Elephas maximus indicus: one gene and its partner. The protein of the gene in region 1 binds, or shares a complex with, the protein of each later gene. Links are inferred from orthologs where the notes say so. Each region holds a gene or a part of one and is shown in the gene's direction. Other genes may lie near its edges.

Region 1 (7,890 bases):
TAACTTGGGATGGCTTCATGGAAAAGGTAAGCTTGAGTTTAATGTCAGCAGGACTTGGATAGGTGAAAAAGGGGGGGCATTCCAGGAGAAGCAGGGAATAGGGGCATGGGGTGTGAATAAAGGCACAGCAGTACAAACACATTAAAGAGGCCTGTCAGAAGAGATGTGTAGGAAGAATAGTGAGAAATGCACCAGAAGAAAAAACAACACACAACCATTAGAGGTATTTGTCAAGTGAATGAATGAGTGGTATGAGGTTTCCATTAGAGGATGGAAGAACTGGAGTCAAAGGAACCAGCCAGGCCACTGTTAAGTTACTTTTATCCATGTGGGAAGAGATGTGGGACTGGACCAGGCTGCTGACAGGTGAAAAGTATATGGAAAAATAAAGCACTAGTGATGGAAGCATCCAAGAAAATACTATCCTCACTATGATTGGGGTTGAGGATATAGCCATTCCCTTTGGGAGACCAGGACGCTGGATGATTCTGAGATTTGCATGAGTGTTGTGGGGTTCTAAAATAGCTTCTTCCACCATATTTTTTAAATCTGCCGTGAAACAAATGAGCCTGCAGTTTGAGGAATCTTCAGTTTATGAGATGAAGGGCTAAACTGGGATTTGGGGAGCTACCTACTACTTCCCTGCTACCATTCCTCCTCCTCCTCCTCCTCTGCAATTCCCTGTTCCCCACACCCCCCTCTCCCCCCAGTATCATCTTTTCCTATTTTAGCTGTCACAAATACTAAAGATAATTTATAATTTGCTAAAATTTTGAAATAATCTTTTACTACTAATTAAACCAAGACAAATTCTACATCTCTAGTCTGTGGTCCCAAATAATTTGTTTATATTTATGGTTAATAATTGGCTTTCTTTAGAAATCAAAGCAAATGCCACATTCACTTACATACCAAATGGGGAAATTTATGTCATTGGCTATTTGTCTAAGTGTTTTGCTTCATGGTTTGCCAAAAGGCCTACCCCTTCATCTAAGATTAACTTGCTGACTCTATCCAGGGGGATAAAGCTAAGTATAAACATATATAATGTAGTATTTCTTAAGACATGTTCTTCGGGAGGCAATTGTTTACTGGGAAGAACATAAGTTAGGCTCAAATCTTAGCTTTACCACTTACCAGATAATTTTGAACATTTTATTGAGCTCAGTTTTTTCAAACTGCATTCACAGTTTGATCGCAACCCCTTCACGGGTTGTGAAATCCATTTAGCAGGTTGCAAACAGCACTTCAAAAAAATGAAATAGAACAGAAAACACTGGGTTCATGGCACATAGTAAGGGTAAGTATTCTTTCCAGAAACTTTTATTTCAGTTAACACATATGTGTTTTTCAGTGGTCATAATATAAAATGTATTTCTTATCATGGGTTGAAGTAAAACAATTTTGAAAAAAAAAAAATGACAACTATTCTGAAGCTCAGTTTCCATAAAATAGGATAAAATCTATTTCACAGGGTTGTAATGAAGAATAAATGAGGTAATATTTGTACTCAGACACAGTAAGGACTCAAGCAATACCTGCTGCTTTTTCTTTTCCTTGAAAAAAAAGCTCCTAATGTCTATGATTCAGGGGAAAAATTCAGTCTATAATTCCTTTAACCTGTATTATGACATGGATCTGGTATTTTTTTTAACCAACTTTTGAATAATAAGCCAACATCTTTCCCCCATTTGATGCAATTTAAATAAGACAAGTAAATGACATGATCCTGCTCTGTTGGCACTTTCCTGCCCCACCCCTCACCCTAATGTGCCACACATACATACACTTACCCACCAAGAGACTTCACATGCACTCAAAACAGTGTGGGTTCCCCCAGGGGCACATGTCATCCGTGTGAAACCATCTACACGCCTGCAGTGACATCCTACCTAACAGAGGAGAGTGATATTTTTTCTGTCAAAAACCAACTTAAAAAAAAAAAGAAAAAGTTCGGTGGGGTGAGTAGTTATCAGATGCTGTGCTTTTAAATTTAAAATGTAAAACAAAAAGTAACCTTCAGTTTAAAATTTTGACAGTTAAGGACTGAGAAGAAAGGAAGAAAGGTGGAGACTGATGGAAACAGGGCAACGAAAAAAACTCCAGAAAAAGGCAGAAAGACAGTCATAAAGAGATGCAAAGAAACATACATATATAAACCCTTAGAGATATAAATACAGAAAACTTGAAACAAACTCTTCTACTTAATACTCAATGCTTTGGGGGGCGGGGTCTCACTTGGTTAATAAAGGACTTAAAACTGCCTGGACTTATAAAAAGTTCCTCCCTCCCTTGGAACAGATGTTCCTGAAATCTTGTTTTTGTCACTGGAAAATGAAAAGCTTCGTACTATAAAAAAAGTAGGGCTGCCCATCTCTTTGTGCAATGTTTCAAAAGGCTAGTCTTGTAGCCCTTCAGAACCCTACCCCCTAAGGTGTTGTAATATTTTAAACTCTAGGCTAAAGCAGGCTCATCACCTCTTGGTACTTGCCTGACAGCTGGTTGAAAGCTGGGCAAGGGCTGGGCCTGACAGGTGGACTGGTGATTCCCCCCACTCCAGACCAGTGGTGACAAATTTAAACTATCTTTGGCACTCTATGCCTCTTACTCAGCTTATCTTTCATTACTGTACTCCTTCTTTAAACTAGCTAATATCTGCTCACCCTAGCCTCAGGATTTCAGCAAATTTCCATTTCTATTCTTCAACACTTTTTTTGCCTTAGAATCCTCTCTCCTTTTTGTTCTGCTGGATCATATCCAACATCTAAGAAGTGGCTCACAATATTTCTGAGAAGCCTTCCATTCATTAATTCTTTTTATAGTGAGTGGCTAGGCCCTCTGTATTAACTAAAGTCTTCCACGTTCCTTCAGCAATTAGGTACTCCATTTGTTCTACTTTTGTATATGTTACATGTTTTTCATATGTATTTTCAAGCTATTACTCTATTCTGCCTTCCAATTAAACACTGAAGCAGTGGCCCTCTTTCCTTTTTTCGTTCATCATCTTAAAAAAAAAAAAAGAGGCCTGTTGCCATCAGTGATTCTGACTCATAGCAACCCTACAGGACAGAGTAGAACTGCCCCATAGGATTTCCAAGCAGCAGCTGGTGAATTTGAACTGCCAACCTTTTGGTTAGCAGCCAAACTGTGCCACCAGGGCTCCTTCATCATCTTACTGTCCCAGTAATAGTAATATACTAGTAATATGCGCTCTCTTAACCATCACAAAACTCTGTAAAGTATAAATATTACTGCAGCCTCTTTACAGTCATGGAAACTGAGGTTCAAAAAGGTTAAATCAGTCATCTGAAATCACTCAGCCTGTAAATGCCAGGGAAGCATCCAAGATCTGGGTTCAAACAAACAACTAGTCTCAATTTAAATATTAAGTAAAGTTCTACAAGGAGCTGGGATACAGGCTCTGAAGGACAGCTTTCAATCAATGACGCTAACCCGCATTTACAGGTTGTGTTTTTGTTTAGTCTTATTTTAACAGGAGCCCTGGTGGTGCAGTGGTTAAGTGCTGGGATGTTAACCGAAAAGTCCGCAGTTCGAACCCACCAGCCGCTCTGCAGGGGAAAGATGTGGCAGTCCGCTTCCGTAAAGATTACAGCCTTGGAAACAGTTCTCCTCTGTCCTATAGGGTCGCTGTGAGTCGGAATCCACTCGACAGCAAGGGGTTTGGTTTTTGGTTTATTTTGTTTTGAAGGAAGGGTTGTGTCCTCCAAGTCTTTGACATTTCACTCACCTCTCCCAACCTTGCCCTGGCCAGCCCCAGGCCAGCTCCTCCCTGGAGGGCTCGGCGTCCGAGGCTGGAGGCCAAAAGCTGCCTAGGCGGGAGGACCTCGGAGGCAGAACCACGGCCTCGAGTCTGGCCGCTAACGGCGTTAAGACTGACGTGGTTGGACCGCGCCATTCCCGAAGTGATAAGGGGCGTAATCTTGGCACCGTCCTTAAAGATGAGTAGGAAAAGGGTAGTGAGGGTAACTATCTTCCCTTTTTCTCCCCTCCCCTTTTCCATCCCACAACCTGATTTGCTCAGGGAGTCCGTGTAGGACAGGGGAGGGGAGAATGCTACTGTCTGAAGTTACGGTAACTCGGTGGCTAACTAAAACGGGCTCATTTACATATAACTTGCAAGTTCATGTACTCATGGAAGTACCCGATATGTCTGTACGTCTCCTCTAACAGGGGCACGCACTCCCGTTTGTCCACCCGGCCTCTGTCTGCTCACGGCCGGGAGCGCGGGAACCTTACCCTACAAATTTACTTCCCTCTCGGCTTCCTTAGTCTCGGAACCCCTCCCTTAGGGCCGCCTCTCAAAGATTGGCCCCTCCTTCCATCCATAGGCTCCTCCCTTCGCCCGCCTCCCTCTTTAGCTTCCAACTATCTCGTCTCCTCCCCCTTTTAAATTTCTGAACAGGCATGTTCCGGGCAGCTCACCCGACTCTTTAGGTTACTATGGGATCGGTAGGGTCCTGAGCGTCGGGGAAGCAAGGAAGCCGACCTCGGGAAGAAGGACTGGGACTCGGGAGAGGAATCTACATCAGTACCTGCTGGGAATTTTTTTTTTTTCCTTGGTTGTACGAGGCGAGGAAGAGGAGGTTGCGCGGCCCGGTCGAACTTGGGGCTGCGCGAAGGCCCCTTCAGGCAGCGCCGAGGGCAGCCCCGCAGCCAGGGCCTGGTGCAGCCGCCGCGGCCGCTGTCAGGAAAGCGGAGGCGGCCAATGGAGCCCGGGAGCGGCCGCTGCTGCTGAGGCGGGGTGCCGGCAGCCCGACCCCGACCGCCCGCACCCCCTCCGCGGGGGTCCCCCGGAGGTAGGCGACTCCACCCCCGTGAGTTACCCTTGCCCTCTCGGGGGGCTCTCTCACCCTGTCCCGCACAGCCTACCCACCCTCCCCCTCAAAACCTGGATTCGACTACAGAATTGCCCCCCCGGTGGCAGCTGCACCCCGGGTTCCTTCTCCACCCTTTCTTTTTAGGCCTGGGATCCTCCTCTGCTTTTTGGCTTCCTCTTTTAACTCCTCCCCTTGCCCCGGGGATTCCTCCTCCCTCACTTTTATCCCTGTTGCCTCCGTCCCGAAATTATTTTCTTAAACCCTTCCGTATCAGGATGCCTTCTGTAATGTCCATCCTTGCTTGTCCTTCCTCGTTGCCTGTGCCCCTGCCTCAAACCTTTCCCATAGACCCCTCCTTTATCCTTTTTCCTCTTTTACCCCTTTGCTCCGAGGTCTCTGTGCAACCCTAGCACTGGGTTCCCATTTCCCTCAGCTAAAGATGTGGCCCTTTCTTCTTCTGCTTCTTCTGATTCTATTACTTTACTGCCACCCACCCACCCAGCGACTCTTGGTTTCCAAAAGTTACCTATCCCCCTCTCCTTAAGGGATTTAATGCTCTCAGCATCATTCCCACAGTACTGTTAGCATTCTGCTTTGACCATAATCCTCACCCTTCTTCTCCGGAATGCTATCTGATCCCTGTAACTTTATTTAGTTTCTCTTCCCCCTTTTCAATCCCCCAGCCTCTGGAGGTTTGTTTCTGAGGGGAATAAAAGATCTGACAGTGCCCCTGCCCATTCAGGATTTCTAACTTTTGACACCTTCTCCCTAGAGTTTCAGAGATTTTGCCTGATCTTGTGACATTTGGTTCTGTTTTCCCTTTGGTCTCTATGTCTTCTCTTTCACACTCTTTATCTCCACATACCAGTTATTTCAGGATCAGCTAAACCTTGAACTAAGAAGAAAATGTATTGGGAAGAGGGGGAGCCTCAGCTGTCTCAGGCTTTTCTGGACAGAAGGGTGATTCTGAAGGATGGAGCAAATTTTGAAGAAGTCTATCAGATTACACTTTGTTGACTACTCAGGAGCAACCACTGGCAGGGATGAACAGGCCTGGAAACTGAATGAGGTTGTGAGAAATTTTGTTTCGGATTATTTAATTTTAGGCTTGTTTTAAAGGGATCACAGACTAGAGTGCCTTCCCACCCCGTCCAGAGCCAAGAGGAGTCAGTTTACGTGCCTGTGGCTTAGTAGAATAGTTTTGGTTGATTCCCTGAGAGCACAGGCCTGGGGTGGGATGGGGGGGGGGTGGTAACTGGGAAAAGGAACATGGGACAATGGAAAGAGCTTATACATTTGGAATTAGGACTCCTGGGTTCAGCATGTGACTTCCTCACTTGACCTTTAGAATGACCTTTTTGGGAAAATGGCCCACTCTAAAGGCATCACTGCAGTAATAGACTAACAGTAGAATGAGGGTTGGGAGAAAAATTAGACTTGGTTTTTTTGTTTACAAAACATCCTCTGGGTTCATCAGACAAAAGGTATTTGATAGGAGTGGTTTAGTCGCCCTGAGAATTTTCTTTCATCTTGATCTCCGTTGGGTCTTTCTAATCTACAGCCATGAAAGTAAGTCAGTTTGAAAGACAAGCTCTAAGTCTGCTTCTCTCATCTGTCTTTTTTTCCTGTCACATTAGGTTGCTGACCTCCTGAGCTGTCAGCTTAATCCACAATTCCAGATTCAATAGGTAGAAAGTATGTTTGTGGGAAAGCCCTTTGAGGAAGCTGTCTGGAAAAGAGAACTTGGAGTGATCTGGGACTTAGGAGACTAGTTGCTGCCTTGTATGTATGCCATGTCTCTGACTTGGCCCATGATAGTGAAGAGGACATGTGAAGCTCCATTCATCTTTAACTCTAGGCCTGTCTGAAGTATGAAGCAGTCCTACTACCTTGTCCCGCTTCTGCCTTGTCTTCCTCCTCTTTATCAGAGTGCAGTCTCCTCATAATACCCCTTTTTAGAAGCAATTTGGAAAACATCCCCAACCAGAAGTCATACTTCCCCTAGTTTCCCTGCTTCCTTCTCAGAGTTGAGGTCACATTGCATGGAGAGAACATGTTTGCTGAACACCATCCAAAGTAGTGAATTGAGATTCTTTGATTTGGGAAAGAGGCTGGGAGGACCCTTTCAATAATTGGCAGGGGATAAGAGAGAGCCTAGTCAAGGTGCATTTGGGGCTTGGTAGGGGGGGAACAGTTCAGAGAGAGGTGAATGTGCAAGTTGCTTCCTTTACCATCTGTCTGTTTCAGCAGGGGCTCCCAGAGCTGGCTTGGGCTGTCTGGCTGGAATCTGCTTATACCAGCTCCATGGCCCTGTGCAGAGAGCTCTCAGCCTGATTCAATATTGATTTAACTACCCTGAGACCACTGCCCTCCCTACCCTTCTGCTGGCAGCTTGAGAATGCCCTCTCCCTTGATGCCGCCACCCCCTGGGGCCTCGGGTAAGCATTTACCTAGTTCCTGGTGGGGCTTGAGCCTGCTCGACAGCTTGGCCCTAAGTTTCTGCAAGGAAAGAGAAGTACACTATCTCCACCTTGACATTGAGGTCAAAGAGGAGATGAGCTGAAGCATCCTTAAAGAAAGGTTTGTGTTAGACCTTAAGACATGACGAGGAACTTCTTAACAGAAGGACAAGTAGCCTAAGGTGATAGAGGGTCTCTTTTGAAAATCAACTTCTTTTAGAGAAATTATTATTGAAGAAATACATGCACTTGGTAACAAATTCAGGAGTTTATGATGAAAAGTCTCTTTCCACTCGTCCCTATTCCTAGTCCTCAGATTTAACCTCTTTTAATTATCTCAGTGTTTAGCTCTGAAGGTTATTGCCGTCACTGTACGTAGAATGCTTATGCCGCTGTTTCTTGATGTATTAATTGTTATAAAAGAGGATTTAGCTTTAGGGGATTTATACTCCGTGTTTATATAATTATGTCATTATTTTTATTTCTTCTACTGGACATTTATATACCTTTAATATAATTTAGCCTATTTTTTCTTTTTCATTGGAGCTCTGGGACGCAGTGGTTAATAGTGTGGCTGCTAAGCAAAAGGTTAG
Region 2 (7,930 bases), on another chromosome or scaffold:
TGCTGATGTTCACCTTGACCACCTGGATGAGGCAGTGTTTGTCAAGTTTCTCCACTGTAAAGTTACTCTCTTCCACCCCGCCTTCCATACTGGAGGAGTCCTGGTGGCACAGTGGTTAAAGAGCTCAGCTGCTAACCAAAATGTCAGCAGTTCGAACTCACAAGCCACTCTGAGGGACAAAGATATGCCAGTCTGCTTCTGTAAGGATTTACAGCCTTGGAAACCCTATGAGGCAGTTCTACCCTGTCCTATAGGGTCACTATGAGTTGGAATCGACTCGACAGCAGTGGGTTTTGTTTTGGGTTTTCATACTGTACTCTTTGGAAGGAAGTCACTACATGCAGCCCTCACTAAGAAGTGGAGAGTTACGCTCTACCTGCTTGAGGGCAGAGTATCTACATAAATTATTTGAAATTCTTTGGAAGGGAGATTTGTGTCTTTCCCCCATTTATTTATTTACACAGTCATTTATCTATATCAGTAGAAACTGGTGGATGTTTATACTTTGGGTTATAATCCAATACTACCTTATTTATCTTGTTGCTACAGTGACAGGCGTATCATAGCAAACGTCTATTGAAAAGTTTTGGGGAGGGGCTATAAAATGGATGATGGATATGTTTGTTAATTGTGGTAATAGTTTTACAGGTATATACACACATCAAAACTCACTGTAAACTTTAATTTGCAGTTTATTTGTACATCAATTATACCTCAGTAAGTGTGGTTCAGTGATAGAATTTTCACCTTCCATGTGTGAGACTGGGGTTCAATTTCTGGTCAGTGCACCATGCACAGCTACCACCCAACTGTCTGTCAGTGGAGGCTTGCGTGTTGCTATGACGCTGAACAGGTTTTAGAGGGGCCTCCAGACTAAGACGGACAAAACGAAGGAAAGCCTGGATCGCGATTTACTTCTGAAAATCAGCCAGTGAAAACCGTATGGATCACAATGGTCCATTCTGCAACCGATCGTGGTGGATGGTGCAGAACTGGTCGGTGTTACTCATGGGGTCACCATGAGTCAGGGGCTAACTTGACAGCAGCTAACAACGACAACAAAGTTGTGAAAACATTTTCTCAAATCCTGCTATTCAAAGTGTTGTCTACAGACAGCAGCATCACCAGAAAGCTTATCAGAAATGCAGACTCTCAGGGACCTTTCCAGACCTACTGAGTCAGAATCTGTAGTTTAACAAAATCCTCAGGTAATTCCTATGCATATTAAAGTTTGACCTCTTGGAGCAGGAGAGCAGTGGGATGCAGACCCCAAATTCTCATAAAAAAGACCAAACTTAATGGTCTGACTGAGACTAGAAGGACCCTGGTGGTCTTGGCCCCCAGACCTTCTGTTGCCCCAGGACAGGAACCGTTCCCGAAGTCAACTCCTCAGACATGGATTGGACTGGGCAATGGGTTGGAGAGGGATGCTGGTGAGGAGTGAGCTTCTTGGATCAGGTAGACACTTGAGACTATGTTGGCATCTCCTGCCTGGAGGAGAGACGAGAGGGTGGAGGGGGTTAGAAGCTGGTGAAATGGACACGAAAAGAGAGAGTGGTGGGAGAGAGCGGGCTGTCTCAGTAGGGGGAAAGTAATTGGGAGTGTGTAGCAAGGTGTATATAAGTTTTTGTATGAGAGACTGACTTGATTTGTAAACTTTCACTTAAAGCGCAATAAAAATTATATATAAAAAAAAATTTCGACCTCTTACTATACTGAATGTCTAGAACTCATCTCCCACAATGGGTTCGTAAAAGGGAGTTCTATTTGCTAATCTTTTTTTAGGTCTCTAAGAGCAACCCTGGTGGCACAGTGGTTAAATGCTATGGCTCCTAATCAAAGGGTCAGCAGTTGGAATCTGCCAGGTACTCCTTGGAAACTCTATGGGGCAGTTCTACTCCGTCCTATAGGGTTGCTATGAGTTGGAATCGACTTGATGGCACTGGGTTTGGTTTTTTTTAAGAGCCAACTACCTAGAGTATGTCCCTGATGATTCTATTAGCTAGATGGTTCACGTTCTTCAAGAATATTCAGTACGTTAAATTCCAAAAACATAGTGTGTTTTACCTATCCATCTTCCTGATTATATTAAGTTTTAATATTTATACTGTTTTTAAAAATAACTTTTTTTTCCTGATTGCAAATGAAATGGTTATTGCAGACAACTTGGAAAACAGAAGTAGAGGTATATTTACCATCTCATTTTCACCTTCAACAGTTATTGGTAAGTAAAGGTAGAATGCTGAGCTAGACACAGCAAGGTAATATATTTATGACTTCTTAGAGGGTAGGCCTTGTAATGTGTCTATTTTAAAATGAATTAAAGCTAAATCTAGAGATCAAAGCTAAGTAGAAAAACCACTGGACTTAGAGTAGTAGAATTAATTTTGAGTCCCCTACAACTCAGAAGTGGGTTTACCAAGGCCCTCATAGGGGCCCTACCAGTATATTCACGTGGTCCAATATTTTTTTTTAATTTGAAAAGTAAGATATTTAAGGTCACTCTCTCTTTGCATTCTGGCTTCCCTTCCATCACTCCTCTCTGTGTTAGGTGGTATCAGAATGACCCCAGACTTTTGGGGGATCTGTCTAGGGGACGATGATTAAATAAGGGACACATTTAATTTGAGTTTAGTGGCATGCATTTATGTGGTTCACAGTCACTTCCGGGTACTGTTAAAAATATTGCTCACTGTGGGTGTAAAAATGGCTTTCTGGAATACACCTGCTACCCATTATGCCAACTCAGCCAGCACTATGTCACCAAGGTGCAGAGCCCGAGGGCAAAGAACTTCTGTGGTGCCTGGTACAGTAAGTACATGGGTAATAGAAGAGAAATAAGGTTTGAAATAAAAGGACTGAGAAGCTAGACCATAGAAAACTCTTCCAACTATCAGAAGTAAATTAGTAAGTGGAGGGATCACTTCTGTCAATGCCTAATCAAAACGGAGGTTCTCCCTCATCACAGAATCTACTAAGTAATGTCATACATACAATTATAAATGTACCATACCTCTTTTTAATGGAAATCATGCAAAATGGAATATATTAGAACTCCTGTGTTTACAGGGCACAAAGTTGTAGTTGTACTATAGTGAGCCTGTCTATATGTGAAGTCACATGTTTTATTTATCCGCACAGGTCAGATGATGCCTTAATGCAATAGACAAATTTTGTCCTGAAAAACTCTGGGGTTCCAGTAAAAACTGCATGCAAAACTGCCACTGAAGTAGTCAAATGGCCCTGAAATATTATAGCTCATATATGAGAGAAACTCAGTAGTTTCCCAGTTTTGACCAAAACCCTAAACATGACAGTATCAGTATTGAGTTGTGAAGTTGAAAGTAACTTATAAACAATTAAAAATAAAAAATATTGATTGGCCACTCTAGACAAAAGATATTGATCTTTGTATTTTTTTTTAATACAATATTACAAAATAATTACCATAGGAAAAGGTGATCCAATATGCAGCCAAAAATGTAGGAAAAGTTATTATAAAGGGTGTCCATGAGGTCTGGAAACACAGATGAACATAATGTCATCAAGGACATCTTTAATATTTAAAACAAACAGAATGAAAAAATTATGCTTTCAGACTTTATAAACACCCTATAGAAGTGTATCAGGCAGTTAATAAAAATTTTATGGTTGTGTGTGTGTCACGGATTGAATTGTGTCCCCCCAAAATATGTGTCAACTTGGTTAGGCCATGATTCTCAGTACTGTGTGGTTCTCCATTTTGTGATTGTAATTCTATGTTAAAAAGGATTAGGGTAGGATTGTAACACCCTTACCTAGGTCACATCCCTAATTCAATGTAAAGAGAGTTTCCCTGGGGTGTGGCCTGCACCACCTTTTATCTCTTAAGAGATAAAAAGGAAAGGGAAGCGCGCACAGAGGGGGGACCTCAGACCAACAAAAAAGCAGTGCAGGGAGCAGAGCTTGTCTTTTGGACCCAGGGTTCCTTGACCAGGGGAAGATCGAGGACAAGGACCTTCCTCCAGAGCCGACAGTGAGACAAAGCATTCCCCTAGAAATGACACCCTGAATTTGGACTTTCAGCCTACTTTACCGTGAGGAAATAAATTTCTTTATTAAAGCCATCCACTTGTGGTATTTCTGTTACAGCAGCACTAGATGACTAAGACAGTGTGTGTGTGCTGTTTGTGGATTTTAACTTTTAAAACTATTAGCAACAGGGTTAGATGTCTGATCTGGAAGATGTTTAAAAATGTCATTTGTGATTTCTTTCTCACTAAATCTATACTCACTTTCCTACCTACATTTCTGTTTGTAATTTTTGTATTTTTTATGTTAAAGAGGGCCCCACAGGTTGTATGAGCTTCAGTTACTGCAAAACTAGAACCTGCCCCTGTCTACAACCACTTCAAAGAAGTCACCGACTTTCTCTGCAGCCTCAGTTGCCTCTTAAAAAAAAAAAGGCATTTGCCCTGCATCCCTCAAAGATGCTGTGAAGAACAAACGAAACTGGTGGGCAAGAGAGTTCTGCAAACCACACAACTGCTCACGAACGTGAAGGTCCTAGGACCCGAAGGGCAGGGTGCTTGCCTGAATCCTTGTCCTCCGCGCACCGACCCCAGCGGGCTCTCCTGACCTCGGCCCTGCCGGACACCGACAGTCGCGGGGTAGAACGCAGTCCAGAGGGCGGCCGGGATGGGGGGCGTTGGGACGGAGCACTTGCCAACCGCAAGGAGCTAAGGTCAGAGAGGACACGGTGAAGGCGCCGGGGCGGGGGGTTTCCCCCGTGGGCGGGACCTAAGGGGCGGGGCGGGGCGGGTGGTCGCGGGGGCGGGGCTTATGGCCCCGGAGGGGCGGGGCACCAGGCATCAGACCCTCTCCCAGAGCCCTTGAGCCTCCTCAGCAGCGGAAGTTCCGGTGTCGGTGAGTGGAGGTCGGAGGTCAGCAGGAAGTCGATACGTGGCCGCCGCCTGTCCCCGCCGAGGAGGCGCAGCAGCCGGAGATGGCGGCGGTGCTGAACGCAGAGCGACTGGAGGTGTCTGTCGACGGCCTCACGCTAAGCCCAGACCCGGAGGAGCGGCCTGGTGCGGAGGGCGCCCCGCTGCTGCCACCGCCGCTGCCGCCACCCTCGCCTCCGGGGTCGGGCCGGGGCCCGGGCGCCGCAGGGGAGCAGCCGGAGCCCGGGGAGACGGCGGCTGGGGGCGCGGCGGAGGAGGCGCGGCGGCTGGAGCTGCACTGGGGCTTTGGCCTGGAGGAGCTGTACGGCCTGGCCCTCCGCTTCTTCAAAGGTGAGCCGGGCCGGCCGCTCGCCCTCCTCTTCCTGGCGCTGGAAGCCCGACCCGGGCTGTGTCCACCGGGGTGATTGGGCCAGCCTCACCCGCACCCACTGCGGTGACCGGAGCAGGGTTCCGCCCCTGGGGCTACCTGAAGCTTGTCACTATCCGCTCGACCACCAGGTCACGCCCCTGAGTGGCCTGGAACCTTGCTTTGGCACTCCCGAATCCCGCCTCCCCGAGGTTAGCAGGGCATTTTACCTGATTTAATTCTTCGGATTTCCACGAGCCAAGGTACCTCTTTGTAAGCCCTTGCGCTGTCTCTCCCAGAGATCCCATTTTGGGGTTGCCTTTTCACCGTTCTCCTGTTTCCCATGGCATGGATATCAGACCTCGCCGAGTTTTCCTCATTCCCCATAGCGGGAGAAGTCTTTCTATAGGTTCCGTACATGCTCTCTCCAGCCATTCTGGGGAACCATAAAGTCGAATAGCACTTAATCACCTGGCAGCGATAATGTGCCAGGGAGAAGGAAGTAAAATATTAAGCCAATACATCCCCTTCGGCTGTTCAGACTCAAAAGAGAAGGGATGTCCACTGTGTTCTAGCAGCTTCTGGAAGGTTAAATTTTTACCTTGTAAGCAATTTGGAAGAGTGAATTCTCAGAGTAAGGCATAAAAGTACCTTCTGTGCTTCTAGCAGAATTAATTGAAAAAATGTCTTTTTTCTTAGAGCAAGACTGTAGTGTGTGATTTTTTCTATTGGCTGATTCACTTAGTCAAATGATGGTGATAGTCACATGATTTTTTCAGTGGGAAAAACTGGTAAGACGTCGTTGGTTTGATTCTTAGAGATACTTAGATCTCATGGGGTGTATGGGTAGGAAGAGATAATGTGCAAATGAGACTTTTAAAGTGGCTGCTAGGTTCTGTATATATTCCAGAACAGCATATTCATGACACGATTCCTGGAGGGAGTACCTTTTTGAGTACATATTTACTAGTTGAAGTTGAGTAGTTCAAATCTTCAAGTTTTTTCCTTGAAATATAACTTAAATTGTGCAAGCTATGGAAAATGTCCCTTAGGAAATTTTCCAGCACATTTGATCATTCCATATACATTGCATTTTTTTTATTTAAAAATTTCCCTTTGAGATATTTCTTGTCATTGCACAAGAAGTTCAGCCCTCTGAGCACTAGCTAGCTTGGGGAATTGGTAATGGCTAGTGGGTTTTGGATACTTGACCTGTAGGTCACCGGCTTGAATTTAAAGTTTGCTGTGGTGATGATATATTACCATGTTTATAAAAATCTAGTGGTTTCTATACAATTTATATAATTATATTCTACCTTAAATTTTTATTCTTAGAACTTATTTTTCCAGTATTCAGTATATCAGAGGGAGAAATAGCACAGGAGCAATTAAAAGCTACCCTTCTGCGTGGCTCATTACATCATCTAGCAATGAAGAGGCTGTTACTGTAGGAGATGCCTAATTGAGGGGAAAAAGAAAAGTAGGGATACAAAAGCACTCAGAATTATGGGAAGTGGGGTAAGCCAAGTGTTGCTGCATTTGTTTTAATGTGTGAATTTTTCTAGTGAAATCCTTGTGCTTTAATCAGTCTTGCAAGGATTTCTAGTAGATCATTATTTTGTGGTTTTGTACCAATAGCTTACAAGAATTAAAAATAAAATGACGTATTCTCTTCTCCTGTGGCGTAAATATGAATCTTAAAAACATGAATATCTTTTCCATTGAAAATAGGGACCCCGTTCTTCATTCCAGCCCTGTGACAGTGGTCATAGGCCACTGACTGAACCCATTATGTCAACTCCCTACCCTCTTAATTTTGTGAAAATAAAAGTAAAATAACAGATGAAAATGTAGGTAAATGTAAGTGTCTTAATTATCCAGTGCTGTCATAACAAAAAATATTCTCTCACAGTTTGGAGGCTAAAAGTCCAAATCAGGGTCTTGGCCCTGTCAATTCCTTTTGTGACTCTCTGTCATAGTTTCTAGTGTCTGCTGGCATTCCTTGGTGTTTCTTTGCATGTAGATCCCAACCACCCCACCCTCATTCTATCTATTCTGACACAACACAGAAGGGATTAGGTTTAGGACCTGCCCTACTCTGCCATGACCTCATTAACATGACAACAGAAACCCCTGTTTCCAAACAGGGTCATATGTACAGGGACAGGGACAAGGACTTCATACATCTTTTTGGGAGCACAGTTCAGTCCATAATGGTATTTTACCATCTAAACTTTGTTCAGTAGACGTTTGCTGAATCCTCATTATAGATGAAGTGTTATATTAGGTTAGCACTATAGTTAAGTAGGGAGCCCTGATGGTGCAGTGGAAACCCTGGTGGCGTAGTGGTTAAGTGCTACGGCTGTTAAACAAACGGTCAGCAGTTCGAATCCGCCAGGCGCTCCTTGGAAACTCTATGGGACAGTTCTCCTCTGTCCTGTAGGGTCGCTATGAGCCGGAATCAACTCGACGGCACTGGATTTTTGGTTTTAATGGTGCAGTGGTTAACAGCTCAGGCTGCTAACCCAGAGGTTGGCAGTTCGAATCTACCAGCCACTCCTTGAAAACCATGTGGGGCAGTTCTACTCTGCTGTATAGGGTCACTATGAGTTGCAACTGACTCAGTGGCAGCAGGTCCAGGTGT

What was found.
Region 2: the proteins of PI4KB (region 1) and ACBD3 are in contact, whole or in part, in an NMR structure (PDB 2N73), measured with the Homo sapiens proteins. The link is inferred for Elephas maximus indicus from reciprocal best matches to the Homo sapiens genes PI4KB and ACBD3. Residues at the interface, in NP_001317650.1 of Homo sapiens: Val37, Gly38, Val42, Ile43, Asp44, Pro45, Val47, Ala48, Gln49, Lys50, Ala51, Cys52, Glu54, Val55, Leu56, Val59, Lys60, His63; in NP_073572.2 of Homo sapiens: Gln245, Ile246, Ala249, Leu250, Gln253, Thr254, Gln257, Phe258, Tyr261, Gln265, Tyr266, Leu276, Leu280, Gln283, His284, Gln287, Tyr288, Gln291, Leu292, Val295.

Annotation. Positions count from the first base shown.
Region 1 is NC_064821.1:185,359,174-185,367,063, reverse strand, and holds the start of PI4KB (phosphatidylinositol 4-kinase beta), read left to right. Parts: upstream 1-4,685; 5' UTR 4,686-4,817; intron 4,818-5,706; 5' UTR 5,707-5,902; coding exon 5,903-5,907; intron 5,908-7,085; exon of another isoform or gene 7,086-7,276; intron 7,277-7,890. UniProt on the Homo sapiens protein: Phosphorylates phosphatidylinositol (PI) in the first committed step in the production of the second messenger inositol-1,4,5,-trisphosphate (PIP). May regulate Golgi disintegration/reorganization during mitosis, possibly via its phosphorylation.
Region 2 is NC_064842.1:15,831,887-15,839,816, reverse strand, and holds the start of ACBD3 (Golgi resident protein GCP60), read left to right. Parts: upstream 1-4,906; 5' UTR 4,907-4,984; coding exon 4,985-5,270; intron 5,271-7,930. UniProt on the Homo sapiens protein: Involved in the maintenance of Golgi structure by interacting with giantin, affecting protein transport between the endoplasmic reticulum and Golgi. Involved in hormone-induced steroid biosynthesis in testicular Leydig cells.